Linked DNA regions of Arabidopsis thaliana. The protein of the gene in region 1 interacts with the protein of each later gene in a pairwise test. Each region holds a gene or a part of one and is shown in the gene's direction. Other genes may lie near its edges.

Region 1 (10,426 bases):
TCCGGTATCAGAAGTTCTGTTCTCGGACGTGACATTCGTGAAACAGCTCGTGAATTGGACAATGCCTGCTTTGGCTAGAGACAGCGTCGGAGAAGGGTGGAAAGGATTTGTGTATGCTTTGGAAAGTATGTACGACAAAGATGGAGCAATGGAGAAGATTAAAGGATTAAATGGGTTTGATGATGGGAACTCTTTAAGTAATCTGTTGTGGTGGGTTCATAGTAGAAACAATGATGATGATGATGATTATGAAGAAGACGATGAAGGTGGTTATGGTGGTCATGGCGGTGGCGGGAAGTATTGTTCCTTTGGTCATTATTGTCATTAAGCTTTAATAAAAAGTTGTTTGCGTTTTGGTTTGTTATTAATCAATGTTAATTTTAGCTTGTTTTATATAATGAAGCTTCATATAATTGAAATGATTCGATGATCTTTTCAAATCCTTTCTTCTTAATTACACCAATGATCTCTCTATGAGAATATCCACATATATACAGAATTCTATATGTCTAAAGTATTATAAAGGGAAGAATCAGTCATGTGCATGTATGGTTTGTGTATCAAGTGAATTCTGTCATGATCTTGAAACTCCTTCTCCAGAGAAGCTAAGGCTGCTTCATAATCATTATGGTTGTTGATATGTTCCATTGCAAACTCATTCAGATATAATAGACATCCCTTGTCGTTATAAGGGCATATGATTGATTCTTCTTCTTCTAATGATCGTTTCGCAGATGCGAGAGGGATATATAATGATAAGATAAGTGTTACCGAAAGAACGTAGAGAGTAGTACATGGAAGCACAAATCTAGACGTCATGGTGTTTTTAATGCTTTTGAAGATTTCAAAAAAGAGATCAAAGAATATGGCCACAAACAAAATCTGAACAAGATAGATTGTGATTGGACTCTATATATAATAGTCGATGACCAAAACAAAGTCTTTTCCTATTTTTAGTTGGGATCAAGTTGGTTTTTTTGTGGATAAGCTAGTGCTTCATGATCATCGAGTAATAAGTTTTTTTTTTCGTTTCAAGAAAATATGTTTTTTGTGTGGATTTTGTTTCTGATGAAATGATGGAATAGACGTGGCTGCAAGTTTGGATAAGGTGGCTCGGCTCCACTCCGGTTTATCTTTTGTTTACCCAAATATAGATTTGTTTTGTTTTGGTCACTGGTAATATCGAAGTATCGAATACGTCTGTCTGTGATGCTCGTATAAAATAAAACCAGTGGTATGGTTGTAGTGGTTGGTGGATCGTGATTCGTGAACTTTCTCTTAGATTCGGAAATATTCGTCACACTTTGGGCCCACGAGTTTTAGCATTTTCCGAACGTGGTAAAGCCCATGATTTGCTAATACTAGCTTCCAAAGTCGTCACACTACTCCATCCAATCACAAATGAAATGACTAACAAACATTTTAGAATAATCAATATTTTGCGAATAATTTCATTACTGTCTGACATTTGATTCTCTTTAATCACACATCATTACATGATCAAACGTCATCAATAAGAGCTAAGAACGTCGTCGTCTTGTACAAACTTTTGGTTATATCTACACACTACTTTACTACATTCCTCGTGTAGAAGGAAATGGAAAGCGCACAAAAGCGAAGATAACAAAAAGAGTTTGAAATTCAAAAGAGAAGAGCAACACGAAGAATCTTGGAATTCGAGATCCACTATTTCACGGCGGAAAAGATGCATTCGCCTCTTCAGACTCAGCAGCCGGAGCAGCGATGCTGGCCGATGACCTCGACGGTATCGGAGATCGAGGAAGTTCTACCCGATGAGGACTCCGATAGAACGACTCTTCTTAACGGTGAACCGTTACGTCGTCGAGTTTCCGGGAAGTCGCCGGTTGACGAAGGACCTCGTCGGATTTTCCGGCAGCAATCGTTCGGTCGCGATATCGGCCACGCGGCAGCTGAAACGTATCTAATTACTGGACTTAGCTTCAAGCTTCTTCGATACCTCGGGTACTGATCTCGATTGTCCCTGTTTTTGGATTTAGGTATATTGATGATTACGCTTAGGGAGGTAATTCGTGTAGATATTAGCTGGCTTTGCCTTGCTCTGCAAAGAATCCAATGATATATAAAAGTTCTCTGTCTTTTATTTTGGAACTTTACTCTAATTATGAAAGTTACTCCATGTGCTGTTGTTTTGCTCTTGTTTAACTTCTTCTTTTTATATTTCCAGTTGAGCAAGGATTGATCTAATTGTTAAGTTTTGTTCAGGGTAGGCTATCGATGGATGACAAAATTACTTGCCCTTACATGTTATGCTATGCTTCTTATGCCTGGCTTTCTTCAAGGTTTGATTTTTTTTTTTTTTTCTTTGCTGATAAATAAATTCATAGAAAGGATTTTTCCTTTTGATTAAGATGTTGTTTTAATTGGAAAATTAGTCTTTGATTCCTCGTCTCAAGTTTGTATTATCTTGTGCAGTTGCATATAGTTATTTTTTCTCAAAGCAAGTCCGGAGGAGTATAGTGTATGGAGATCAACCAAGGAACAGGTTTGTGTGTGAACTGAATAGAATCTTACCTTCTCCTTTCACATCGGCCTTAAGTGGTATGTTGAATGCCTGCTTTTATCACATCACCTTTGTCTTGAGATTATTGATGTATGAACGGTGATTTGATAGGCTGGATCTGTACTTGCCAAGCAACAACGATGGCTTGAAGCCGGTTGTGGTTTTTGTGACGGGTGGAGCTTGGATTATTGGGTGGGTTGCACATCAGATTTACAGCATTCTCTTCTGCATAATGTTGAAATTTGTTTGTTTTACAATTTCTCGTGTCCCACTTATAGAAGTTTTCCCCTTCACTGTTCTTTTGTTGATGTTTGAGTTACAAAAAGAAAAAAGTAAAGATCATGATGGGCTCTGTATTCTTATCTCACTGACTCACTCAAGTTTCATCTTCTTGTACTAGCTGGTTGCTTGTTAATAAGTTCATGTTTGCTAATCTTGTACTGATATTTAGGTACAAAGCTTGGGGCTCGCTCTTGGGAATGCAGCTAGCAGAAAGAGATATCATTGTAGCATGCCTTGACTACAGGTAAACAAATTACACAATTCAAAAAACTAGTCGTCTTTTATGAATATAGGAAGAACTTTCATGCATTTACCAAGCAATCCGTTCTTTATGGTATAGGAACTTTCCTCAGGGAACAATTAGTGATATGGTGACTGATGCTTCTCAAGGAATCTCATTTGTCTGCAATAACATCTCTGCATTTGGAGGTGACCCCAACAGGTTTCATCTCATTGGCTTTGTTTTTATTTACCATTTGATCTTCCAATTGGTCTCTCGGCTATTAAACTGCATGTATCTGCTTGTCTCTCTAGGATCTACCTGATGGGGCAATCAGCTGGTGCCCATATAGCCGCTTGTGCTCTATTGGAACAAGCTACTAAAGAATTAAAAGGAGAGAGCATCTCCTGGACAGTGTCCCAGATAAAAGCTTATTTTGGATTATCTGGAGGGTATCTTCTAAGCTTTTGGATTCCCGTTGGCTTCTATGTGCTTTTTGGTCTACAGCAATTGATCTGCTTATCATTTTGAACTTCAATAGGTACAATCTATACAAGTTGGTTGATCACTTCCATAATCGGGGTCTGTATCGCTCGATTTTCCTAAGGTAAATGCTTGGTTAACCAAATCCTAAACGCAGTCTGATCAGATCTAATGTTCAACTCCAACTTGCAGCATAATGGAAGGAGAAGAGTCCTTTGAGAAATTCTCTCCGGAAGTAAGACTGAAAGACCCAGTTGTTGGAAAAGCTGCTTCTCTTTTACCTCCTATTATACTTTTCCACGGATCCTCAGATTATTCCATACCATGCGATGAAAGGTATATATGATCATCTTCTTGAAGTGATACATTACTGATGAAACCTTTTGGGATACTAAAACCACCTCGTTTGCAGCAAAACTTTTACAGACGCTCTGCAAGCTGTTGGAGCAAAAGCCGAGCTTGTTTTATACAGCGGAAAGACACATACTGACTTATTTCTTCAGGTAAGCCACATAAATCAGTCAACTTACCTTACATTGTGTCACACACACAAACACTTAGCTCAGTGTGAGTACAATAAAACTCATGAGAGTATTGTTTATAGGATCCCTTACGAGGAGGTAAAGACGAACTCTTTGATGACATAGTCTCTGTGATACATGCGGAGGACAATGATGGGCTGACCAAAGACTCGTTGGCTCCTCCCAGAAAGCGTCTTGTACCAGAGTTGTTACTGAAACTGGCTCGTGAGATTAGCCCTTTCTGACTGCCAAGAAAGGAAAACAAGCTTTGTTTGTTGATCCTCAGTTTTTACCTTTGTTAGTTGCTGTGTTTTTAATTGCATCAGTAGAACATCATGTAAATAAAAACAAACTTTGTTGCTCCACCAAATTTATTTGACCCATGTAGATTTGAACACATGAATATGATTACTTCCACAAGTTTGAAATCTAATAAAAGCTAGTAAAGATAATATCGAGTTTTATCATATTCTCAAAAAGGTGATTGAGATGTGACAAACACTTGATAGACTTATACATGTTTTGTAACTATGAAATATGATGGTGATCATAAGCAAATTGGACTTGTATAAACAGACCACAGGTGATGTTGATATAACTATCGTTATTCACCTTAATTTGGACCCACCATTTGCTTCAACTTGTGGCTCCTAATCTCTAGAGACTCGTAGCGACTTGGCAGATTCCAATTGGCTCCTTGGATCTCCACCGTTGGCCAAATCAGCTTGACCGACTTGATGTGGAAGGAAACAAAGTTAGGACATGCCATATCTATTATCTCCAACATATCACCAAAAAAGACACCTAGCATCATTCGAAGATAACAAATGGTTAAGAGTCATAATCTTTTTAACAATGCTAAACAGTGATCATTTAATTTTTATAATTGAAATCATGAGACGATGAGAGAAACCTGAACAGTTAGAACATGGCAAAAGTTAAGAATCAAGATAAACATTAGGCTAATGGTCAAGCCAAAGAGCTACTAAAGTTTCCAGCTTTACCAAAATAGTAGTAGATGATACAAAAATAGTTAGAAGTTGCACGTTTCAGAACCTAGGTAACATGTGGATGGGTCCTATAGAAGATTACATAGGAAGAGGTGTTTACACTTATTGAGGAAGAAAGAGAGAAAAAGTAGTAACTATTGGTGCCATTGCAAAGATATAAGAAGACAATTAGTTTTTTTCTTTCTTTCACATTTCGTGCTGGTTGATGATTCCAAAGCTGTAAGCATCTCTGCACTGGACCCCTTCTCAAAAACTCAGCCAGCCACAAGATGATCACTCAACATCAAACCCACAAACTTCTCGCCACGTGTCCAGCCCTCAGAATTCTATCCTTCCTTTCCATTTCCATTCAACAACTAATATAGCCTTCTTAGTCCCCTGCTGCCTTTACATACGATCTCACTCACCATCAAACAACTACAACATCTGCGGTTAGTATGTTGAAAGTAGAGAGTAACTGGGCACAAGCCTGTGATACATGCCGATCAGCCGCCTGCACCGTGTACTGCCGGGCTGATTCTGCCTACTTGTGCTCCAGTTGTGATGCTCAAGTTCATGCTGCCAATCGTCTTGCTTCCCGCCATGAACGTGTTCGAGTCTGTCAATCATGTGAGCGAGCCCCGGCTGCCTTTTTCTGCAAGGCAGATGCTGCATCTCTATGCACAACCTGTGATTCAGAGATTCATTCCGCAAACCCACTTGCTAGACGCCATCAACGAGTTCCAATTCTGCCCATTTCTGAGTACTCTTACAGTTCCACGGCCACTAACCATTCATGTGAGACAACAGTGACAGATCCAGAGAACAGACTTGTGCTTGGTCAAGAAGAAGAGGATGAAGATGAAGCAGAGGCGGCTTCATGGTTGTTGCCTAATTCAGGGAAAAACAGTGGTAACAACAATGGCTTCTCGATTGGGGATGAGTTTCTGAACCTTGTTGATTATAGTTCGAGTGATAAGCAATTCACAGATCAATCCAATCAGTATCAACTAGACTGCAACGTACCTCAGAGGAGCTATGGGGAAGATGGAGTTGTTCCACTTCAAATTGAAGTATCAAAGGGCATGTACCAAGAGCAACAGAACTTTCAGCTGAGTATCAACTGTGGCTCCTGGGGAGCTCTTCGAAGCTCCAATGGTTCCCTCAGTCATATGGTAAGCTTTCATATATTTAATTCAGATCCGTTACTATGACCAGCATGCTGCTTCTTTCACACAAATCCATGAAGTAAATTTCTAAGAATGTCTTTGTTACTGTCATTAGGTGAATGTTTCATCTATGGACCTGGGAGTTGTGCCGGAGTCAACAACGAGTGACGCAACAGTATCAAACCCAAGATCGCCCAAAGCGGTAACAGACCAACCACCTTACCCTCCAGCTCAGATGCTCAGTCCAAGGGACAGAGAAGCTAGAGTCCTGAGATACAGAGAGAAGAAGAAGATGAGGAAATTTGAGAAGACGATAAGATATGCTTCAAGGAAAGCGTATGCAGAGAAAAGACCACGGATCAAGGGCCGGTTTGCAAAGAAGAAAGATGTCGATGAAGAGGCAAACCAAGCTTTCTCCACAATGATAACATTTGACACCGGATATGGAATTGTTCCATCATTCTGATGCTGCTATGGCAAAACTAGACTGCATGCTTGTAAATTACTTCTGGTTTGAAATTCCTGCAAGTTATTACCACGGTTTTATGCATATAGGGTCTGTAGTTTACTAGTTTTGCCTAACTAGTACGAGTTAATTAGATATACACTCATACTTAGCTGCTGTAAGTTAATACAAATTTTGCCCACTTGGTAGAAGTCCTCTTATCTATGAAATACTGCCCTACAGTCTAAATTCAAACTGATGCTACAAAGAGATATGCATTAGTATAGCTAGCTGTACCAAGAACAGTCAACACGTAACTCACCTTGCCTAAGTTCAAAGTTAATGATTCCTTTCTTGGTGACACTTTCCACATCACTTTATCACGTAGAAGATAAATGATTCCACTTATGCCGCCCCAAAGACAATTTCGCACATCCCTGAGAAAAGAAAGTTGTACTCAATATGATTTTATACCAAAAGTAGATTACAGAGACAAGTGTAAACATGTAAAACTCCAATAAAATCACACACTGAATAGTCAGGTAACAAATAACCAAGAATCCTGAGTGAACAATGCTAATAGGTACAATTACATCAACGCATATTCTTGTACTGATTAGTGATTAGCATTGGTGCTAAATCCATTCCCACGAGGTTGTCTCGGATAACAAGATTCTATCACTCACAACCACTACTAGCAGAATATGTCAATGCCTATGGACCATCCAAATGAACAAAGATATTCAGTGTGAGAAATCTATTTCTTGGTCTATCTTTTAGAATAATAGCTCACTTTTTCCAAGGTATATACTGGCACTAAAGAATAACGACGCAACCAAAAGAAAAAGGGTGACACTGTAAAGCCTTCACTTTTTGCCACCTGGAAAGGGCCAGAGATCAACTTATTTACCACTAGGATAGCTTCCCACTTCAACGGTTAAGCTGATGAATTCATGTACCAAATCAATACTTTTTAGCCATAAATGAGTCAGTTTTAGTATCCACATGAATTTACCTACCAGAGTGTTGTAAATTATGTTCTTTTGGGGCCACTTACATGGATCTCATTCATTCACTGCAGCGAGTTCTCAGACCACCAGAAAATTTATTCAGTGATCTGTTTTGATCATGCAACATAAACTTATAAGCCACACAAGCAAAACAAAGATATCCCATGTTGCATATAATACGAGCTAGCATATCATAAAGAAGGAAACTTGAAGTAGCAAAGTTTCTACTAAATTTCTTGTCAGGAATTTTTAAAATGCAATGACAACCACTTGGAGCACTATGAGTTTCAGAGCCAATAGAATGTTACTATTTGGTGTGGATTCGAGCTAGCACGTGAAAGTGCATAAAAGTGATTACCTTTTGCCAAAGGTCACTGCACTTTTCCTCAGATAGTTTCTCACAGCCATGGAAAGTGGAGAATCCGCATAAACGTACAATTACAAGCTTTATATGGTCCCTCGACTCTTATTCTCTTCTCAGTCTTTGCAACTAAATAGGGTTTTCGTTAATCTGAAAGAAGCAAAGTATTCGAAACCACGGAAACCTGATAAAGAATGAAAACAAATAAGCAATAGTGTTTTCTTGAAAATCTCGATGCAACTTTGAGGATATTGTTACATATGATCTATTACTCGTAACAGTTATCCGAAGGCCTACACATGTGAGAGAAGTTCCAAACCGCTACAACAATAAACTTAATTAGAGACTGTCAACGAGCAATAATAAGCAAAACTACTTTTTTCTTGAGCTACAAGTGAAAAGGCCAATACACAATTTACTCTTCATGAACTCGAACCACGTTACAATCTCCAAAAAATTTCATCACCAAAGCACTAAAAGCCAAAGATGCCTCAACTTATCCAACTTGGCAGGATAAAGATCTCCAAAAATGCTTACTAAAGAACCTAGAATCTTTTCTTTAGAATTCAATGATCATATAACCATTTCATAACAATTCTAAATGCCATTACATTCATCGTAAAACCAGTAAATAACAAGAACTTGTATGTTAAGTTCCAATTACCAAGCAAAAAAAAACTTTTCAAAGTTTAAAGTTCAAAATGGGAAAGAGAAGTGCGGTGTAAGCAAATATGAAAGAGGAAGAGATGCGAAAAGTGTATCCTAGGACCAGCATTTTATACAAAAAAAAAACACTCACTTTTCAGCTCTTAAGGCATAGAGTGAAGGTAGCCATATGAATTTGGCCACTAGAGCGTCCGTCAAATCTCATTCTTTTTGGACCACATAATGGGTATCATACATTCACTGGACCCAAAAGCGTAACTGGAGCTAGTCCTCAAACCTAGAGAGTATCGTATCCTGTAGCTTCCACATAGTAAACATTATGAGCATAACACCAACAAGGCAACTCCAAGTACTAATGGTTATTAGTACAGGAAAACCCACGATGCTAAACACATGAATGGGTCACCAAATAGAGTGAAGATGGTTAAATTGCATCTATGGATCATGTGGACTAGTAAATGAGTGTAGCAGAAAACTTCACAATTACCTCTGTGATCTTAGAAACATGTCCTGAAAATTCCATACAAGTGTCGTTTGTATTAGATTACTTCCACAGGTTGAGATCTAATAAAGCTACAATAAATAGTATAGAGTATCATCATAAACCCAAATTACAGAGATGTGACAACACTCATGAGTCATGTTTTGTAACTACTTACTATAATGGTTACCAAGTGCAAATTTCTACATACTATATATGATAAATCTAATTATTGCTCATGTGGACTCCAAAATGCCTTTTAAGTTTTAACTTGTGCGTCAGGTAAATTCTAATTTGTAGTCTCAAGACTACTTGGCGGATTCGAGTTTGATCCTAGAAAATCCACCGTCTCTATGTTTTTCATGTCACTTTTCCGATATGATTCTCATTACCATGACTTTATGAACCAGATTAAACATTATAACACTTTTCATCAGAAAATCCTTCGAAAGTTTCAATTGCAAATCTTTCTAAATGATGCAGATGCATTCACAAATAATGGAACAACAACTATACCATATTCACGAGTTTGTCTAACCTTTGTATAGGTAGTCAACCCATAACAGTTGGTGATGGCTCTGACACTCGAAGCCTTACTCGGAGAGATACCTGAACAGTAATCACAAGGTTCAGGATGAATATTCAACCACTTAAACTTTGTATAAAGCCAAAGAGATAAAACGAATCTAGCTTTACTTTAAATAAAATGCATATGAAAATAGTAAAAGGTGATACGAAAAAATAGTAACAATTTGCCTGCAACACCATGGCATTATCCGGACCACTTCCTCTTGAGAATCTCAGTATGGCAAGTGGCAAAACCTAAGCAACTTGTGAACGGGTCCCAACGAAGAAGTGCATAGGAGGAGATGTTTACACTTTACACTTTACACTTTACACTTTACACATAGGCCTTCCCAAAAGCTCAACTAGCTGCAAGAGGATCCAATAACATGTAAGAGCCACTAACGCTGTGCCACGTGTAGGCACTCAGGATTCGATCTCCCCTCTACTTATTCTCTCACACCAGATATAAGCTTTATTAGCCCCTTCTTTCAGATACCAGCTCCCACACCATCAAACTTACTACATCTGAGTTATTATGTTGAAACAAGAGAGTAACGACATAGGTAGTGGAGAGAACAACAGGGCACGACCCTGTGACACATGCCGGTCAAACGCCTGCACCGTGTATTGCCATGCAGATTCTGCCTACTTGTGCATGAGCTGTGATGCTCAAGTTCACTCTGCCAATCG
Region 2 (10,426 bases), on another chromosome or scaffold:
AATTTCACTCAAACAGAGTATTTACACAGATTTACAAAATAAGTTTCAAGAATGAAGGAACCTAAGACTTGTGATGTTTTCACAGTTGAAAAAACAAACCATTTTCATTGACAATTCCTCTATTTCATTGACACTTGATCATCTGAATCTATAAAAACCGACAATAGTTTAAGAAAAAAAAAAAAAACATCAATCATACTTCTCTCTCCATGTATAAACGAGGAAGAAAACCCATGAGACAGCTAAAGCAATATCTCCAAGGGCTTGCTTGGGACATTCAAAAGCAAGATCTTCAATCTTCCACTCAAACATAACTCTCCATAAAGCCATAACCATATAGAGAATCACAGAACCAGCTGCAAAGAAGCTATGAAACTCTCTGTCTTTCACAAACGACACCATGAAAAGCACCAATCCGATAGCAAAGAGAAGCAAACCAGAGAATGACTGAGAAATCTGAATAAGCTGCTCGTCGTGAGGTGTTGATCCTTTGAGCTTGTTTGCTATATCACTACCATGTCCAAAGATCGAAGCTTTCTCTGTGTAGAACATCATCAGAGTTCCACTTGTGAGTGCGATAATCGAATGGAGTATACAGATTACGCGGAAGAGATATGAATTCATCGGACCTTTGTTGATTCCAATAGAAAGAATCTGACTTTTTTGCTGGGTTTTCGAAGAATCACCTGAAAATATCGAGAAAAGGTCAAAAACAGATGGAACCAAACAAAAAAACGCATATTATTCAAAGTTTCAAACTTTACAGATAGAGAAGGTTCAAACCTGAGGAAGCTGTGATGTTTAAGCTTTTGCAAGAGCAAATGTTTTGAATAGAGAGATTATATGATTTCAGGGATTTTGAATTCCACAAGAGAACTTCTGGGAATTGTTTATGGATAAACCCTAATTTTGTCTTGTTGCAAAAGAAGATATTTGACTTGATCTCGGTCCTCTTTTGGCAGCTTCTCCTCTTTCTTCAACAGAAATTCAAACCCACCGTATAAAGATTGGTTTCCGATTATAAGTGGGAGAGATTATAAACAAATTTATAGTTGAGAGAAACAATTGTCAATATAATTTAAAACAAATTTATACCAATAATATCATCTGTTTAGCAAACTTATCCAAGACTTTTGGTAAAAATATTAATCAGTGGAAAGCAATCATCAAAAGACACAAGGAAAGTTTTGTGATTTTAATTAATATTAAGGATAATGACTTTTCCCATCATACAAGAGAATCAATGAACATATCCTTTTTGTGACAAACTAACATTGTTCTACTTCTTCTACTTAACTTAAGGTTTGTCCTCTAAAGCCACCAACGATCTGATAACGCCAGGAGAAATACCATCAGCAAGAGCCCCTAGTTCCGATATAAACAGAGCTTTTTCCTTCACTAAGCTCTGTAACTTCTTCGATTCAAACTCCATTTTCTCTTCATCTTCACATAGTAACAAGTAGGCCGTTTTCTCATGAGGAAACTGCACTAGTCTCTAAATGAGAGTAGCAAATAAATGTAAACAAAGATGATACCTTTCTCTAGCATTGTATGCACAGCATGAAACGGAATTGCAGCAAAAAGATCAGCTCCTGGGAGCATCATCCAGGTGGGTTCACTAGAGTCATGGGATCCACATGTGGAGCAAACTTCTTGGACCAAAGGTTTCGTTGAGCTCCCATGGATATCCTTCATCATAGAATCAAATGGAGACATAACACTAGTCTTTGTTGTCCGAGCTCTCTTCCTTAGTGCTGTAAGAGCCTCTCGGTTTGCATTCCTCTCCTTGTCATTCTCCACCATCTATTACACATATTACAAGCTCCATTTTGGTTAAAAAAACTTATTGACCTAACAACAATACATATCATATAATATCTGTTTTCTCACAAGACAAAATAAGTTGCAGACAACAATAGATTGAAAAATCTTGTGCTTTCCTCAATCTGTCAATCACATATAAATTACGAAGTAGTGAATATTTCCAACTAGATACTACCAAAGCAGATTCCCGAGTACCTGATTTCGAGCTAATAGAAACTCATCAGCTTCAGCTTCAATTTTGTCCAATAGTGCAGCAAACTTCTTTGGATCCAAATCCATCTCTAGTCTAACAGATTCCAACAAACAAATAGGCTCAGAATCAAATAAAGCATTATTGGTTGAAGGGGAAAAAGGAAAAGATTTGATAAGTGGTATAGTCAATCTTCCTAATCCTGTACATCTCCATGTTAACCTACATCTTCATGCACAAATCAAACCACAACGAAGCCAGAAAAAAAGTGAAGCTATGGATACTTTGTTTGCTTAAGCTCAATTTCAAAGACTCTAATTAGTACCATAAGCCACTCCATGTTTTCGTTGTATGTATGTACCAACATCATACTAAACCTTTCACCATCGTTTCAGCTTCTATTCTATAGAGTGATTATTGAATTCCCAAATTTTTCAATATTGATACGATTAATGATTTCATCCAATTTCAGAGAAACGATTATAGAAATTAACAATTCTGATAAACCCTAAATGGTTAAAACCCTGAATTCCGAAACCCTAAAACCTAATTCACAAAATCTCTCGTTCCTACGATGCAATAACGAAGGCAACCACAACACCAACAAAAGTGTAAAACGATTCTTTAATTCATTTTTGCAGCATCTTAACAAGAGGGCGAGACGAAGTAACTCAGAAACAAAATAATAACCTTTAAATGGATTTACAGACGAAGATTTAATAAGCAGAGGTCCGGTGAGAATCTCGGTGACGCAATGAGAGGGACGAAGTTTATTAACAATATAAATTACATTAAACCCCCGAGTTGAGTTATGGGCTAGGTATTTGGGCTATAAAAGGCCCGGCCCACTAATCATACCATTGAAAGGTGCGATCGTTCCCGCCGTCGTATCGTAGCACAAGAAAATGTAAATTTTATTTATTTGGTATTTAAAAATATACCTATTTAATAATTTGAGATGATAAAGTCATAAAACAGAGTAACTTTTTTGCATCCAAAAACGAGTTCGTGATATCAACTAAGCTTGTCAATGTGTTTTTTTGTACACGAGACATTAAAATTCACAATGTTTCGTAGAGAAGGGGACAAGAAACACATAATATAATCAACCAATTATTATTACTCGAATCCATTATAATATTTTTTCAAAAGGATAAGATTTTGTTCATTGAAAGACATCTGGGTGGGTCCATTTCACTGCTAAGCCCCTTGTGGTGGCGTCTCCAACGCATCCACTTGGCATTGTTTATTTGACCACTTTTTCGAATCATAGATTTTGAATATTCAAGCTCGATGGCTTATGTTAACTCTTATATAAACATATTATCAACCTCCAAATATTTTCATCATCAATCTTCTCCACACTTGAATCACAAACAACAACAAAAGAAACACAATGCAGATTCACAAACTCTGTTTTCTTGCTCTGTTCTTAGCTAATGCAGCTTTTGCCGTCAAATTCAACTTCGATTCCTTCGATGGCAGCAACTTGTTATTCCTTGGAGACGCTGAGCTTGGTCCTTCCTCTGATGGCGTAAGCCGATCCGGAGCTCTTTCCATGACCCGAGACGAAACCCCATTCTCTCATGGTCAGGGTCTTTACATCAATCCAATCCAATTCAAATCTTCAAACACTTCTTCTCCTTTTGATTTTAAAACTTCTTTCACTTTCTCCATCACTCCTCGCACCAAACCTAATTCTGGTCAAGGCCTTGCCTTCGTCATTGTCCCAGCCGCTGATAACTCCGGCGCTTCCGGCGGAGGATATCTCGGAATCCTCAACAAAACCAACGATGGAAAGTCAGAAAACAACCTCATATTTATCGAATTCGACACGTTTAAGAACAATGAGTCTAATGACATTAGTGGTAACCATGTCGGAATCAACATCAACTCGATGACTTCTCTTGTCGCTGAGAAAGCTGGTTATTGGGTTCAGACATTAGTCGGAAAAAGAAAAGTTTGGTCGTTTAAAGATGTGAATCTTAGCAGTGGAGAGAGGTTCAAGGCTTGGATCGAGTTCAGAAGCAAAGACTCTAGGAATACCATTACCATCGCCCCTGAAAACGTTAAGAAACCGAAGAGGCCTTTGATCCAAGGTTCGAGAGTACTCAATGATGTTCTTCTTCAAAACATGTACGCTGGTTTTGCTGGTTCCATGGGACGTGCCGGTGAGCGTCACGATGTTTGGAGCTGGTCGTTTGAAAACTAAGTAAACCGGTTCGGTTCGGTTCAGTTTGGCTAGGTATCGTTTGCTTTGTTTTTGTAATTGTTGTAGAGTGAATAATTAAGGTATGAATAAAATAAGCCGACCTGTGGCTTACTCTGCATTGTATTTTCATATTTGTGTAATCAGTCTGAATAATTCAGAGGTTTTCAATAAAATAAACTTCCTTTCCAAATTCTTTTTTTTTAGTAACTGGATTTGCATGATTTGCAAGGTAGGAGATTGTATTAAGCTCTATACAACATCAGTAGCTCTAGACGTCGTCTTATTGTATTTGTCATGGATAGTTGGATACATACATGTTTCTATCGATTGAAGATGATAAAATAAAAGGAGCAAATTATTGCATCCACGCAATGAAAACGGTTTATATTTAAATAAACGGAGGATAATTTAGCTTTGTTTGTTTTCTTCACGGAATAAAATATAAAATATATCTTCCCATGCAGAAGATTATAAACGTGGAATGTCTTAGATTTATACACGAAATATGAATTAAACAAATGTTTCATTTAAGATAGGGGACACGAATTACAAGTAGTAGAATCGATTATTATTCGACTTCAATAATCAAGAATATCGTTTTTTTATCCCCAATCGGATAGATAAACACACTAGATAGGTCAATTTTGTTGGAGACTCTGGTGGCGTTTGTAACGCACCCACTTGGCGTTATTGAAATGACGCTTCGAATGAAATAATTGTTCTGCCGTAAAACAATTTCAAACTCGATGTCTTACAGTGACGAAATGACGATTCACAAAACTCTGTAATCTTGCTTTTTGACACCAATTCTTCTCTCAAATTTAACTTCGAAACCATGCCTGGATAGTCTCAACAAAACCGACAATGGCATTCTCAAAACCCAACATCTTAGCTGTCAAATATGATCGCATTGGAGACATGTTGGTCTGACATTTAGTTTTGTTATGGAGATCGCTCTTAAGTTTTTTCTTGAAAACATGTCCACGGTCCACCGGTTTTGCTAGTATCATGGCACATTTGAGTTGGTCGTTCGAGAAACAGCGCCAAGAACAGCTAAACCTAAACCGGTCCAATCCAGTTTAGGTATTGTCTCAGAGACTGGTAACCGGAGCCAAATCTTTATTTAGTTTTAAATATGCCTTATTGTTTTGCTTTTGCATTTGTTAATTGGGTTTATAGGAGACTCAAGAGAGGACTACATGCTTTGAACTTTAGTGATTCACTCCTCTTAAAAGGATCTGGTCTTTATTTTTGTTTTTGTTTTCATAAGAACCTCAATTATGTACCCAGAATTAGTTGCTGTTCTGTTGGGAAGAAATAAAGGAGCCTAAAACAAAAAAAAATGTTTCTTAATTCCAGAGCAAAAGTTTGAAGATTTGACCCTCAATGTTTGTCTAAATTTATACATTTGGCACAAAAAAAGGTCATTCCTTTTACGTTCTGTTATTTGTGAGGTCGAAGATTAACCACGTTGCTTGCGTGTAAAGAGAGGGTGGGTGATTATCAATATTGAAAAAAAAACTGAACTGAGAGATATATTATATAAATATATTAAAGAACGATTTCGACAGTGAATCGTTTCTTTCAGCAGTCGTTTTTTTGTTTTTATTCTAAAAGGCCGAGAATTTATGAGGCTGAGAGAGAGAGCCTTCTTCTGCTTTTTTTTCCGAGTTTAAAACTGTGTTTGGTGTTTGTTTGTTGTGTGGCTCTGTTTCAATCTCGTAAAGATTATTTCTGGGTGGCCTCTCTCCTTTAGATACTTCTTATCTTCTCCCTCTCACTAATTTTGCGGTAAAGAAGCTTCCTTTCTTTTTTTTGGCTCTTTACATGATCAAAAGATTTGCATTTTTTCTTGTATATATTTTTATCTTTTGAGTGTTGTTGTTCTTAAATGGGTCTCCTAGGTTCTTGAGTTTTCTTCTGTTTATAGCCTAGGGTTTGTTTCTTGAGTGGGATCACTTAAAAAAGGGGCTTTACATTGTGAGAGTCTAAGTTCTTGGCGAATGTGTAACGATCTTTAAGCAATGAGCTGTTGAATCCGAAATGATTCCAGTTAGAGTTGGGAATACAGAGAAGTCATTGGTTACGTGTTGGTTTCTGGTTAGCTTTTGGTGGATGTTAAATGGAAGGTTCTTCAAATTCTAACTCTAGGGGATTCAATACCTCTGGTGTTTCAGATAGGAACACTGAGTTCTTACCTGTTGAGAGACTCACTACTCGTTCCAAGCCTTCCTCTCATGTTGATGAGTATGTCAGAAGCTTGTTTGGTAGTACTAGCACACACAAGTCTGGTGAAGATGATTCTTTAGGGATTGATCCTTTTGTTAGATCCTTGGAATGGGGTGATGTTAGTTTGAGACAGTGGCTGGATAAACCTGAACGATCTGTTGATGTTTTCGAGTGCTTGCACGTTTTCAGACAAATTGTTGAGATTGTGAATGCGGCTCACTCTCAAGGCATTGTTGTTCATAATGTCAGGCCATCATGTTTTGTCATGTCTTCGTTTAACCATGTTTCGTTCATTGAATCTGCTTCTTGTTCGGACTCTGGCTCTGATTCCTTGGAGGATGGTCCAATTAGCCAGAAGGAAATCGGTAGCTCGAGAAGAGAGGAAGCTGTATCGAAAGCTATTGCAATAGAAGAGAAAGGAGTCTACAATAAGTTGTTGGAGAGAAAAATCGAGAAACTAGAGGAAGAAAAAACCCAACCTTTTCCGATGAAACATATATTAGCAATGGAGACAAGTTGGTACACAAGCCCTGAAGAGGATTTTGGTTCTTCAAGTACTTGTGCTTCAGATGTTTACCGCCTTGGCGTTCTTCTTTTCGAGGTTTGTGATAAAGAAAGAAACATTGTTTCTAACAAATTAGTAACTGCTTTTGGATTCAAAGTTTCTGTTTTTGTTTTGCGTGTTTATTTTCTTGAAAAGGTGATGAGATGAAAGTTAGTCCCTTTGCAGCTATTTTGCCCTGTACCTTCAAGAGAAGAGAAGTCTAGAACTATGTCTAGTCTTAGACATCGCGTTCTTCCGCCTCAGATATTGCTCAAATGTCCAAAAGAAGCTTCTTTCTGCTTGTGGTTACTGCATCCTGAGCCAACTTGTCGACCATCAATGAGGTTTACATATTGTCTTATACTTCATGTTCTTAGGTTGAGCATTGTTAGTCTCTGTCATCTTTTACTACATGGAACTAATGGGGAATTTGTCTTTTATGGTGCAGTGACTTGCTGCAAAGCGAGTTTATAACTGAACCTAGAGATAATTTGGAAGAACGTGAAGCAGCAATCGAGCTTCGGGACAGAATCGAGGAACAGGAGTCGTTACTCGAGTTCTTGTTACTGATTCAACAGAGGAAGCAAGAATCTGCGTATAGATTGCAGGATACTGTTTCACTTCTTTCTTCTGACATTGAGCAAGTTGTAAAGAGACAGTTAATTTTGAAGAAAAGGGGAAGCTCACTCTCTGATTTCAGTAAAGATGATCATCAATATACCTCTGGTCAGCCATTGATGAGTTTCCAGGCAAACGAGGAGCCATCAGCATTCTTGGCCTCAAGAAAACGGGTTAGACAAGGGATTCTGGCATTGGAAAACGGTGTTGAAGTTGATGAAGAGAGTCAAGGAAGCACACTTCTTGAAAGCTCCCGGTTGATGAGAAACTTCAAGAAACTAGAATCGGTCTACTTTCTGACAAGGCGCAGGCAAATGAAGGCTGCTGCTTCAGGGAAATCATTAACTAGACATTCGCCGTTAAGTAGTGAAAATGGAAGAGGTTCTATGATTGTCTCAGAGAAAAGTTCAGTAAGCAACCCGGTGGCACCCAAAGCTTTCTTCAATAATGACTCGAGACAAGGGGGGTGGATAGATCCTTTCCTTGAGGGTTTGTGCAGATATTTATCATTCAGTCAGCTAAGAGTGAAAGCTGATTTGAAACAAGGAGATTTGTTGAACTCTTCTAACCTCGTTTGCGCTCTTGCGTTTGACCGAGAAGGAGAATTATTCGCCACTGCGGGAGTCAACAAGAAAATCAAGATATTCGAATGTAACTCCATAGTAAACGATAACCGGGATATTCACTATCCGGTGGTGGAATTGGCTGGTCGGTCAAAGCTAAGTAGTTTATGTTGGAACAGCTACATAAAGAGCCAAATTGCATCAAGTAACTTTGATGGTGTTGTTCAGGTTAGTTTTACATTCAGCTCTAGCGTTATTAAAAACTTCCAGTTTCATAAAACCAATTTGGGATACATATGTTTTTGTTTTCAGATATGGGATGTTGCAAGAAGCCAGTTGGTTACAGAGATGAAGGAGCACAAGAAGCGAGTATGGTCCATCGATATTTCATCAGCAGACCCGACTTTGCTGGCTAGCGGAAGCGATGATGGAACCGTTAAGCTCTGGAGTATCAATCAGGCAATTCTAATTTGAAATGTCGGCTATTGAAAACTGAAACTGATTTCTACAATAATGCAAACATCTTCATTCTCAGAATGTATGATTAAGAGTTTGTTTTTCTTGGAAATGTTTTCAGGGAGTTAGCATTGGGACCATCAAGACAAAGGCCAATGTATGCTGTGTCCAGTTTCCATCAGACTCCGGACGGTCTCTAGCATTTGGTTCTGCAGATCATAAAGTGTATTACTACGATCTTCGAAACCCCAAGATTCCTCTGTGCACAATGATTGGTCATAGCAAGACAGTGAGTTATGTCAAGTTTGTAGATTCATCCACTCTTGTGTCCTCTTCTACTGATAACACACTGAAGCTTTGGGACTTGTCGATGTCTGCTTCTGGGATTAATGAATCCCCTCTTCACTCATTCACTGGACACACTAATTTAAAGGTAACATTTTACCCTGAAATATGCTTTCAAGACTCTCTTCGGTCTCCGGTTTCTGAGATGTAATGTTCTTGTGATGTGTTGCAGAACTTTGTTGGCTTATCGGTCTCTGATGGGTATATAGCAACAGGCTCAGAGACTAACGAGGTAAAGGCTTGATACAGAAAGAAAAATGAACTTTCTGACAGATTGTCTCCTAAAAACTTGATTATCTGAGCTTCTTGTTGTTGTGAATCTATTACAGGTTTTCGTGTACCACAAGGCATTCCCAATGCCAGTGATGTCGTACATGTTCAACAACACTGACTCTATGTCTGGTCTCGAAGTGGACGATGCATCACAGTTCATATCTTCAATCTGCTGGCGAGGACAGTCGTCTACGTTAGTCGCTGCTAACTCCAATGGCAACATAAAAATTCTGGAGATGATGACTTGAGCCTCTCATAGATCTCTTGTTCTTCTTCTCCGCAAGAGATATGCTCTGCTGGAGTGATTGATATAGGGTAAACCATTTTTACCAAAAAAAAAAAAAGATAGGAAAGTGGAAACATTGTGTATAGAATTTCTATTGAGAAAAAAAAAAGAAGAGAGGATACAAATATTGGATCTTTGTATTTGTATATTCTGTTATAACTGAAAACATCTCAATAAAAAAAGGTTATAATTTTATTGGATTTTGAAGGAGATGACTTCAAACAAACAAAAATGAATCCCAGTAGGTCGTGGCATTACAAGGCATCTCTACTCAATGCAAACAATGTCTAATAGTCTTATCTAAAGCCTGCAACTGCAAGATTCTCTATATGTTGTATAAATATATATATCATGACAGTCGCTCTCCATTACTTCGATAATGGTTCTTTTTTTCTTCGAATTCTTTCTATTTACACTGACTAACTCCTGTATTAGCTTCGTTGACTAACCTGGTCACAAGTCCTTGAAGCCTCTGAGCTCCAAAGCTAGGAACAATCTTAGCCACATTACCGACCCTGGAGCATTTTGGTTTCCCACTGCACCATCCACCAGGAGTAAAACTATCTTTATCATTCCTCCGTTTAAGTAATTCCTTATCGATCTTATTAAGTACTTCATCATCTCTTCTGAATTTCCTAGCAAACGCAGCACCGCTCCATATCATCGGCATTGTGTCGTTGAGTGACAACACGTGTGGGTGCTGCTGCGGCGGATTGTCCCAGGAAATGTAGTGTAGGTCATGGTTTACTGCAGTTTTTGCAAACTCAGGCACGTTGCAAATCACGGTCTGGAAGTAACCTTCGGGCGATGAAACGAAGTTGGTGTAATACATTAGGAGAGTTCGTGGTAAATTGTCCCATCCCCATATGCAATACTCTACAAACGG
Region 3 (10,426 bases), on another chromosome or scaffold:
ATATACATATATACACATAATGGAAATTGTTAATTTGGTGATAATAAGAGAAGTTAAAAATACATGATTTGGTAACTCTATATATTTGAAAAAAATTTAAATGTGTTTGGTAAATGACTAAATGGTTTAAAGAGAATGAGGATAAAGAAAAATGTGTTTGACAAATTGATAGTTATAACAAAATAATTAAATAGTAAAAAAGCTGAGAGAAAAAATGTGGGATTGTCACATAAGCACTAAAAACTTTTAATATATAAAGGACACATAGTATATTGTTAATTAAGAAAAATTTGGTTTTGGTATAACTTAATGAAATATGATAGATTTGATCATGAATGTGGACTAACTTATATCTTTCCTAACCTATATATTAGGACAGACTAACTTATATACATATATAAGTTTATTCAATCAATACTAGTTTTAATTTCCTCCTATACACTCATAACGTTTTTGTTTTCAGCATTGTGGGCACAGAAAAAGTAGAACCATTTTGTGCACTTTCGAGAACAGCTTTTGTCATCTAATGCCATAATTCAAATTCTTTGTCTCTCTTCTCTCTCAATTATTTTAAGTCTTCTCGATCTTTTCAACACTCACATCTTTTAAAGTTCACCACTTTCACTTCCCAAATTCCCAAAAACAGAACTAAAAAATGAAGATCCAAATACTCTGTTTCACCACTCTGTTCTTAGCTATCTTCACCTCTCAAGTCACCACTGCTTACAAATTCAAATTCGATTACTTTGGTAACGGCACCGATCCAATATCATTCCATGGAGACGCTGAGTATGGTCCTGACACTGATGGCAAGAGCCGGTCCGGAGCCATCGCATTGACTCGAGACAACATTCCTTTCTCTCATGGTCGAGCCATTTTCACCACTCCAATCACTTTCAAGCCTAATGCTTCAGCTCTTTACCCTTTTAAAACCTCTTTCACTTTCTCCATTACTCCTAAAACAAACCCTAATCAAGGTCATGGCCTTGCTTTCATCGTCGTCCCAAGTAACCAAAACGACGCCGGTTCCGGTTTAGGCTATCTCAGTCTTCTGAACCGAACCAATAACGGTAATCCTAATAACCACCTCTTTGCCGTTGAGTTCGATGTCTTTCAAGACAAATCTCTTGGCGACATGAACGATAACCATGTCGGAATCGATATTAATTCGGTTGATTCGGTGGTTTCTGTGAAATCCGGTTATTGGGTTATGACAAGAAGCGGTTGGTTATTTAAGGATTTGAAGCTAAGTAGTGGAGATAGATACAAGGCTTGGATTGAGTACAACAACAATTATAAAGTAGTCTCTGTTACGATTGGTTTAGCGCATTTGAAGAAACCGAACCGGCCATTGATTGAAGCAAAATTCGATCTTTCCAAGGTCATACACGAGGTAATGTATACCGGTTTTGCTGGTTCGATGGGTCGTGGTGTCGAGCGTCACGAGATTTGGGACTGGACTTTCCAGAATTAAGAAAACAGGTTTGGTTTGGTTCGAGATCATCGGTTTTCTTTTGGTTTATGTTTCTGGTTTACCCTGGTGTGCCTTCAGCTTGTGATAATTGAAGTGAAATAATTGCTCATTTTATGTCTTACCGACAATTTGATGTATTATTGTTGTCAGATTAGTAGAAATCAAGGACGTTTCGTTCCTAATCTTTTATGTTAGTCACTTTTAAATTACATTTCTCGTTGACAAAAAAAGAAAAAATGATTTTACATTCTATCAAAATTGGCCAACATGACTAGATGAGAATCAGATTTATAGGAGAAATGTGGAGATCGTAGTTATGGGACTATCAAAATAGTCTAAAACATCTTAACATGTTTACCGGAAAAAAAGAGTCTACTACCAACTATGTTGTTTTGTGGAAGACTTTTAAAGAGGAAATGTTACATGCCAAGTGGATTATAACACTCCATGATGCGACTTGGAAAATGAGAGATCTAGGAACGAAGGAAAGGAGGACTTGATGAATTGTCGGAAAGTTGTCTCGTTTCTTTCAGATTATGTTGTAAAAGTGTGATAGAGATGAATGCTCTTTGAGATTATATATCGTGGTTGTATATACGCTCTTTCTCATATCTATTTCGTATTCTCCCTCTTTCAGTGAGATATTTTTTTAGTGTTTTTGCTTTATCCAATTGAAGAGTGTGTCCTCGTTGTCGAGGCTTGGACAGACAGCATCTCATAATTTTACCTACGACGATGTGATTTGACTACAATCATCAATCTGCTAGAATAGAATTTGACGTGTTTTTGGTGGAGGATCGTGCTAGGCAAAGGTGACCATGCGACAAGCGAAAGGAATCATTGATCTAGGACCTCCAAAGTTTTCGGCCTCATCAACAAAACAATAATCTAAAAATGGACCCTTTGCAATATAACAAAGCCTTCATGAACTCTAATTTTTTAAAATGTTTTGTCATTTCTTTGATAACTAGTCCAAAAAATACCAGAACAATCTTTTCTTGCGTTTGGACTCCTTAAATATCAAGACCGGCTCTAGTGGAAATATAATTAGTAGTAAGGATTAGATAAATTTTCTTATGAGTTATTGTGTTTATTCGACTTTAATGATAAACTAGATGAGTACCCGCACTACGTGCGGGTTTATGTATTACTATTTACAAATTGTTTTATATAATGTTTGTTCATATAACATAAAGTAAAGTTGAATGCATCGGTTTTGAAACATAAATATGATTTGTAATTGTTTTTGAAAAGTCCAACTATATTAGTTCATATGAAAAACGAATATGCTTGAGTTGTTTTTTTTTATTGTTGTTCTAGATTCTCAGTTTTTTTAAAATTTATATATCCTTGTTTTTTTTGTTATATGTTTAGATTGTGGGACGGTGAAATTTTAGAAAATTTGTTTCTTATACTAAAAATATAACATGTCTTTATTAACCATGTCTTTGCATATTAAATCTAATCATATTTAACTTGATGTTCTTGGAAAGTTTAGTTAAGTTCTTGTCATAATCTTATATCTTACATATTAGTTATAAGGATAGCTCCTCAAACATCTTTCAAAATACTTGTTTCTTAGCATAATTCTCGAAAAGCTTAGATATATTTAATCTGCATATTCATTTAGTTTCTTTCATAATAATCGTCTAATTTTTAGGCAAGGAATATGTGTAACATGTTTGGATTTTATGATCACTTTAACCACTCAAGTAGATCTCAAAATTAAAGAGGATATATTGAATTAAAAAAAATATAAAAACTGTGATGGTTCAAGTTCTGATTAATTATATCCTCTTATTTTAGTTGTTATGTTAAATTATTACTAATTATTTATTACTAATTATTTATTACTTATTTTATGAAGTTTATGTGGCAAACTCTATGTGCTAATGTGTAAAGTCGTGAGAGAGAGTTAACAATCCTTTCGATTCATAATAATTGTTTTGTTCTTTAGTTTTTTTTTTCCATCCATCTTGAATTCAGAAATCAATGGTTTATCACTAAAAAATAGTCTTTTTCGTGTGCCCAGTTGGCGCTATCATATTTGACCTCTATATATGTTTGAAAAGTCATAGTTGAAGTTCACTGGCTTTCGTCACACTATATATTACAGCACTACTTCCACTTCCATAACACCAAAAACAAAAACATACACACGTAAACAACAAACGCATAATGCAGATCCACAAACTCTGTATTTTTGTTCTGTTCATATCTTTGTTAAGCTCTAAAACCATTTCCGCCGTCAAATTCAACTTCAACCGTTTCGACGGAACAAATCTAATCTTCATCGGGTACGCCGAGCTAGGACCAGCAACCGATGGCATGAGCCGGTCCGGAGCTCTCTCCATGACCCGTGACAACATTCCATTCTCACATGGTCAAGGTCTCTACACAGATCCAATCCCATTCAAATCTTCCAACAACACATCTTCTTCTGTTTACTCTTTCAAAACATCTTTCACTTTCTCCATCACTCCTCGACGGTCAAACCCTAACCCTGGTCATGGTATCGCCTTCATCGTGGTCCCAACCGTAGCCTACGAGTACGACCAAGACTCAACCCGCGGCTTCCTCGGTCTAGTTAACCTCACAACCAATGGCAATCCTAATAACCATCTCTTTGCGGTCGAATTCGATGTTTTCCAAGACAAACGTTTTGGTGATATTAATGATAATCATGTTGGTGTTAATATTAACTCTGTTAACTCAAAGGTTTCTGAGAAAGCTGGGTATTGGATTCAGACAAGAACTAGAGGGAAGAATCAATGGTTGTTTAAGGAAGTGAAGCTTAGTAGCGGAGACAACTACAAAGCTTGGATTGAGTATAAGAACAGTAAAGTCATTGTTTGGCTTGCACCTGCGCATTTAAAGAAACCGAAGAGGCCATTGATCGAAACACAAGTTGATCTCTCGGAGGTGGTTCTTGAGACTATGTATACCGGCTTTTCCGGTTCGATGGGTCGTGGCGTCGAGCGTCACGACATTTGGAGCTGGAGTTTTGAGAACACCGCCAAAAACAATTAGTTCTGATTTTGGTCTTGTTTGGTTTGATTTATGTTTGTTACCGGTTTAACAATTATGTATTTTCTCTTGATTTTTATTCAAAAGTGGTTAAAAAGAGAGTACGTATAAAATGTCAAAATCAAATTTAAAATTACTTTGATCGATTAAACCATTAAAAAAAATCCTGAGAAGAAAACATGCACACTGTCCCGGACCATCACCGTCAATGATCTTCTTGGACATGCATCATTGATTTTGTATAAATAAAGACTCGTTAAAAGCCAAAGCACAACCACGTGGTATTGTGGTCATCGTCCTCATCAAATTGAATCAGTTTGTTCATGTCACAAGTTTCTTAACATAAGTTTTTAAAAGATATTACTAAAATTTAAAACTAAAATATTGACAAATCCACGATATATAAGGTTAAAGCTATCACAGTTTCTAGGTCGTATCATTTTCTACAAAAATCTTGCATTACATTTCAGATGGTTTGGTTTCAATAAAAAAACAGAGTTTTTTTTTTTTTTTCATTGATAAATTTGTGTATGTAATCTAATCATAGAAAAAGAAAAAACACGTGGCGTGTCCGGACGCATGTGATTTTGTAATTTACCACTTACGTTGTCGACTTGTCTCAATCCATTCCATGGAAATGGAAACTCCCCTCTGGTTATTAAATGCTCCCACCAATACATTCTCTTTCCTTTCACCAAAACCAATAATACAAACAATTTTGTTTTTCTCATTCAAGATTTTCAAAGTACAATCATTTCTTTAGGTACTTTCTCTTGTAATAAGGCTTCAAATATGTTATTCAAAAATTATTTTGGTCATTTTAAATTCCTATTATAGCCTTACAAAAATGTGTTATATTATTTGGACCACAACATAATTTAAACATTCCTCTTGAAGAAAATTGGTCACTTCAAAAAAGAACAAAATTCACTTTGACCTCATGGTTTACTTATATTTACATATATGGCCCAAAACCAAAATACGAAAAAGGTTTTAGCTTTACGTTCTTTTGATTCCTAGGTCGTCGTTTAACCACGTTGCTTGCGTGGAAAGAGAAGAGAAGTGAAGATTATCAAAAAGCGAAAAATAAAACCCTCACTGTGAAGTAAAAATCGTAGGCCCAAAATAGATTTCTCTTAGCCGAGAATTTAATTTTTATGAATCTGATTATTGCTTTTCTACGAACTCAGTTTTTGCGATGTGTGGTTCTCAAAAAAGGATCGTTTCTTCGGTGCCTCTTAGTCTCTCAAGTACTTCTTCTTCTTCTTATCTTCTTCTTCGCTTTTCTTTTATATATAGAGAGAGTTTAGTGGTCAAGAAGCTTCCTCGTGTTTGTCTCTTTATGTAATCAAAGGTTGCATTTTTATTCGAATATATTTTCTGGTTTTGGTGTTTTCTGTCAAAGGGTCTTTTAAAAATCTTAACTTTCGTTCTAAATTTCTTTACTTTATTTCGATTCTAACTTAGGGCTTTTGGGCTGGGATCATGAAATGAAGTATTGCAGAATCCAGAGGAGTTTGTTTGGTAATCAATGAAGGGTTCTTCAGAATCTAGTTCCAGAGGATTAAACAACACCTCTGGTGTTTCAGAGTTTTGTACAGATGGTTCTAAGTCTTTGTCTCACATTGATTATGTCAGAAGCTTACTTGGTTCACATAAAGAAGCTAACTTGGGAGGACTTGATGATGACTCTATTGTCAGAGCTTTGGAATGTGAGGATGTTAGCTTGCGTCAGTGGTTAGACAATCCAGACCGATCCGTTGATGCCTTTGAGTGTTTTCATGTTTTCAGACAGATTGTTGAGATTGTTAATGCAGCTCACTCTCAAGGCATTGTTGTTCATAATGTTAGGCCTTCTTGTTTCGTTATGTCTTCGTTTAACAATGTTTCGTTTATCGAATCCGCTTCTTGTTCGGATTCCGGGTCTGATGAGGATGCAACAACAAAGTCTCGAGAGATTGGTAGCTCGAGACAAGAGGAGATTCTATCAGAGAGACGAAGCAAACAACAAGAGGAAGTAAAGAAGCAACCTTTCCCTATGAAACAGATATTAGCAATGGAGATGAGTTGGTATACAAGTCATGAAGAAGATAATGGTTCTCTGTGTAATTGTGCTTCTGATATTTACCGTCTTGGTGTTCTTCTCTTTGAGGTTTGTGCGTAAGAAGATTTGATTTTTGTTCTTAACTGCTTTGTTTTCTTGAGAAAACTGATTTGATGAATGTTAGTCTTTGTGCAGCTATTCTGCCCTGTCTCCTCAAGAGAAGAGAAGTCAAGAACTATGTCTAGTTTAAGACATCGTGTTCTTCCCCCTCAGATATTACTCAATTGGCCTAAAGAAGCTTCCTTTTGCTTGTGGTTACTGCATCCTGAGCCTAGCTGTCGACCATCGATGAGGTGATGATTGATTCTCTCTTTGATGTTTTTAGTTTCAATTGGAAAAGTTTTGTCCTTTAATTAAGAGTATTGTCTCCTTTGTCTTTACTTTTGCAGTGAGTTGCTACAAAGTGAGTTTATCAACGAACCTAGAGAGAATTTGGAAGAACGTGAAGCTGCAATGGAGCTACGGGATAGAATCGAGGAACAAGAGTTATTACTCGAGTTCTTGTTTCTGATTCAACAGAGGAAACAAGAAGCTGCAGACAAATTGCAGGATACAATATCGCTTCTCTCTTCTGATATCGATCAAGTCGTAAAGCGACAGTTGGTTTTACAGCAAAAAGGGAGAGATGTCCGTTCGTTCTTAGCCTCAAGAAAACGGATTAGACAAGGAGCTGAGACCACTGCAGCAGAGGAAGAAAATGATGATAATAGCATTGATGAGGAATCTAAGCTTGATGATACTCTAGAAAGTACACTTCTTGAAAGCTCTAGATTAATGAGAAATTTGAAGAAACTGGAATCAGTCTACTTTGCAACACGATACAGACAAATCAAGGCTGCTACTGCTGCTGAAAAACCGTTGGCTAGATATTATTCGGCATTGAGTTGTAACGGTAGAAGTTCAGAAAAGAGTTCAATGAGCCAACCATCAAAAGATCCTATCAATGATTCTAGACAAGGCGGGTGGATCGATCCATTCCTCGAGGGTTTGTGCAAGTATTTGTCTTTTAGTAAGCTAAGAGTGAAAGCAGATTTGAAGCAAGGAGACTTGTTGAACTCGTCTAACCTTGTTTGCGCAATTGGGTTTGATCGTGATGGAGAGTTTTTCGCCACGGCAGGCGTCAACAAAAAGATCAAGATATTCGAATGCGAGTCGATAATAAAAGATGGCCGGGACATTCATTACCCTGTTGTGGAACTTGCTAGCCGGTCTAAGCTTAGTGGTATATGTTGGAACAGTTACATTAAGAGCCAAGTCGCATCAAGTAACTTTGAAGGCGTGGTTCAAGTAAGTTCAGAAGAAAACTCTCAACCTTATTAATCAATGAAAAGTATGAAAAAAAATCTTATAACTAAGGCTAATATTTTCATAGGTTTGGGATGTTGCAAGAAACCAGTTGGTTACAGAGATGAAGGAGCATGAGAAGCGTGTATGGTCCATCGATTATTCATCAGCAGATCCAACATTGTTAGCTAGTGGTAGTGATGATGGTTCGGTTAAGCTCTGGAGTATCAATCAGGCAAACTTCGAAACTAAACCAAAACGTATTTATGCTCGGAAATGCGAGAATAGTTCTTTTGAGGGATGTGTTTTTAACGGTTGAGTTCGTTTTCCTCTGTTTCAGGGGGTTAGTATTGGAACCATCAAGACAAAGGCAAACATATGTTGTGTTCAGTTTCCATCAGAGACGGGTCGGTCTTTAGCATTTGGCTCAGCAGATCACAAAGTTTACTACTATGATCTAAGGAACCCCAAGCTTCCTCTTTGCACAATGATTGGTCACCACAAGACCGTGAGTTATGTTAGATTTGTAGATTCATCAACACTTGTTTCTTCTTCGACGGATAACACGCTGAAGCTATGGGACTTATCAATGTCTATTTCCGGTATTAATGAAACGCCTCTTCACTCATTCATGGGACACACTAATGTTAAGGTATATTTTTTTCGAGATTCGTTTCTATTGCTTCATTTCAAGTTTGCTTTATGAGATTACAAATACATTTCTGTTCTTGCATTGTGTGTAGAACTTTGTTGGATTATCAGTCTCTGACGGGTATATAGCAACAGGCTCTGAGACTAACGAGGTATGTCTACTCTCACTTCATAAATATACAAAAGAAGAACTGTTGATCCCATTTGTCAATAAAAACCGTGAATTTCGTGTGCTTCACTGGACAGGTTTTTGTGTACCACAAGGCATTTCCAATGCCGGTTTTGTCGTACAAGTTCAAAACTATAGACCCTGTGTCGGAACTCGAAGTAGACGATGCCTCGCAGTTCATATCCTCAGTCTGCTGGCGGGGACAGTCGTCGACCTTAGTTGCTGCAAACTCCACCGGCAATATCAAGATTTTGGAGATGGTATGAACCAATATAAAGTGGCTCAGAAGCAAAATGGTAATATTCCAGGGTTTGGATTGGTATAGGAAACAATTTTTGGGAGAGAAAGTAGGAAAAGTGAAAACAATATTGTTGCTACTAAAGAATTGTGTATATAGAAAAAATATATGATATCTTTCTATTTGTTGTATAGTACTTATTGTAAACCCTAATGACACAGGTGGGCAACTTAACATACAAGTAATAATTATTTACTTCAAAAGAATTATACAATCAAGCTGTGGTGTGTATAGAACTGCAAGATTCTCTCCAAGCTGCTTGATTCTTTATACACATTGATTCTTACCTAATTTAGCCTCTGTAACTAACCTATCTACAAGCTCCTTGAGCCTCACAGCCCCTGAGCTAGGCCTGATCCTAGCCACATCTTCGACAACCGAGCACTCTGGTTTCCCACCGCACCAACCGCCTGGAGTAAAACCGTCTTCGTTTATCCGTATAAGCAGTTCCTTATCAATCTTATCCAAAACAGTATCATTTCTTCTGAACTTCCGACCAAATGCAGATCCGCTCGAAATCATCTTTCCCATGTCTCTTTGAGACAACATACGAGGATGCTGCCTCGGTGGCTTGTCCCATGCGATGTAGTGAAGATCATGGTTCACCGCGGTTTTGGAGAACTCAGGCACGTTACATATGACTGTATGGAAGTAACCTTCAGGAGAAGAAACGAAATTGGTGTAGTACATGAGTAAAGTTCTTGGTAAATTGTCCCAACCGTATATGATATACTCCACGAATGCGTGCGATAGAGCCATCCAAGCTGATCCTACACAAAACAAAAAAGTTTCAAGCTAACAAGAACAGAGTAAAATATGTTTTTAAACCAGGATTAGAAGAACAGTACTTACCGGTAAATAACTTGAAAGCAGAAGGTAAACTTCGATTAGGTCTAACCAATAAAACGTTTGATTTGTTTAACATATAGAGTCCAGGATCAATTATTAATGGCATTGCCCGCTTCTTGCTTCACCGTGAGACACAAGAAACTTTAGAACTAATGAAACACTAAAAGAATTCAGAAAATGAGAGAAAAAAAACTTACTATTTCCAGCCTAAGGAACTTGTGTGCTCGATAAAGTTAAGGTTCCGGTCCAATGTCGAAAATGTATGAATCAGATCTATAAACATAGAACAGTTTTTGATAGTCTTAACAAGGGGAATATCAAGAACACAAGGAAAAGATTGAAGCATTTACCATCTTGAGTCACGAGGGGATAATCCGAAGCACTAAGATTGATAAACCAATCCCAATCCGGGGTTCTTTTAAGAAGAATCGCACATGCGTGAAGCGTATTCGCCACCATTGTTGGTCCGGTATAAGTCACAAGATTAGCTTTAGTTATCATATATACATTTCCTGCTTTTGAATACATAGGATCGTTTGAAATGCGAGAAGCTAACTCTGATCTCTCATC

What was found.
Region 2: the proteins of COL1 (region 1) and SPA3 interact in binary tests that used the Arabidopsis thaliana proteins (3 or more experiments, as listed by UniProt).
Region 3: the proteins of COL1 (region 1) and SPA4 interact in binary tests that used the Arabidopsis thaliana proteins (3 or more experiments, as listed by UniProt).

The regions. Positions count from the first base shown.
Region 1 is NC_003076.8:5,172,543-5,182,968, reverse strand, and holds COL1 (CONSTANS-like 1), read left to right. Parts: upstream 1-5,071; 5' UTR 5,072-5,495; coding exon 5,496-6,212; exon of another isoform or gene 6,213-6,321; coding exon 6,322-6,672; 3' UTR 6,673-6,878; downstream 6,879-10,426. Other genes in the region: AT5G15870 (glycosyl hydrolase family 81 protein), read left to right, coding at 1-328; PCME (prenylcysteine methylesterase), read left to right, coding at 1,706-1,983, 2,245-2,321, 2,455-2,524, 2,654-2,734, 2,994-3,068, 3,165-3,266, 3,359-3,496, 3,586-3,651 and 3 more; AT5G15853 (uncharacterized protein), read right to left, coding at 4,662-4,862; CO (B-box type zinc finger protein with CCT domain-containing protein), read left to right, coding at 10,272-10,426. UniProt on the Arabidopsis thaliana protein: Putative transcription factor that may be involved in the light input to the circadian clock but does not affect flowering time.
Region 2 is NC_003074.8:5,168,403-5,178,828, reverse strand, and holds SPA3 (SPA1-related 3), read left to right. Parts: upstream 1-5,723; 5' UTR 5,724-6,348; coding exon 6,349-7,056; intron 7,057-7,154; exon of another isoform or gene 7,155-7,185; coding exon 7,186-7,343; intron 7,344-7,447; coding exon 7,448-8,408; intron 8,409-8,492; coding exon 8,493-8,639; coding exon of another isoform or gene 8,640-8,654; exon of another isoform or gene 8,655-8,757; coding exon 8,758-9,069; intron 9,070-9,153; coding exon 9,154-9,213; intron 9,214-9,310; coding exon 9,311-9,502; 3' UTR 9,503-9,734; downstream 9,735-10,426. Other genes in the region: AT3G15358 (uncharacterized protein), read right to left, coding at 190-624; AT3G15351 (P53/DNA damage-regulated protein), read right to left, coding at 1,298-1,443, 1,536-1,803, 2,020-2,103; AT3G15356 (Legume lectin family protein), read left to right, coding at 3,411-4,226; AT3G15359 (uncharacterized protein), read right to left, coding at 5,048-5,236; AT3G15350 (Core-2/I-branching beta-1,6-N-acetylglucosaminyltransferase family protein), read right to left, coding at 9,947-10,426. UniProt on the Arabidopsis thaliana protein: Repressor of photomorphogenesis in the light. Probably part of the COP1/SPA E3 ubiquitin-protein ligase complex.
Region 3 is NC_003070.9:19,777,716-19,788,141, forward strand, and holds SPA4 (SPA1-related 4), read left to right. Parts: upstream 1-5,469; 5' UTR 5,470-5,855; exon of another isoform or gene 5,856-5,968; 5' UTR 5,969-6,032; coding exon 6,033-6,653; intron 6,654-6,729; exon of another isoform or gene 6,730-6,740; coding exon 6,741-6,898; intron 6,899-6,994; coding exon 6,995-7,892; intron 7,893-7,977; coding exon 7,978-8,124; coding exon of another isoform or gene 8,125-8,149; intron 8,150-8,229; coding exon 8,230-8,541; intron 8,542-8,632; coding exon 8,633-8,692; intron 8,693-8,786; coding exon 8,787-8,975; 3' UTR 8,976-9,187; downstream 9,188-10,426. Other genes in the region: AT1G53070 (Legume lectin family protein), read left to right, coding at 656-1,474; AT1G53080 (Legume lectin family protein), read left to right, coding at 3,653-4,504; AT1G53100 (Core-2/I-branching beta-1,6-N-acetylglucosaminyltransferase family protein), read right to left, coding at 9,275-9,771, 9,860-9,975, 10,054-10,129, 10,207-10,426. UniProt on the Arabidopsis thaliana protein: Repressor of photomorphogenesis in the light. Probably part of the COP1/SPA E3 ubiquitin-protein ligase complex.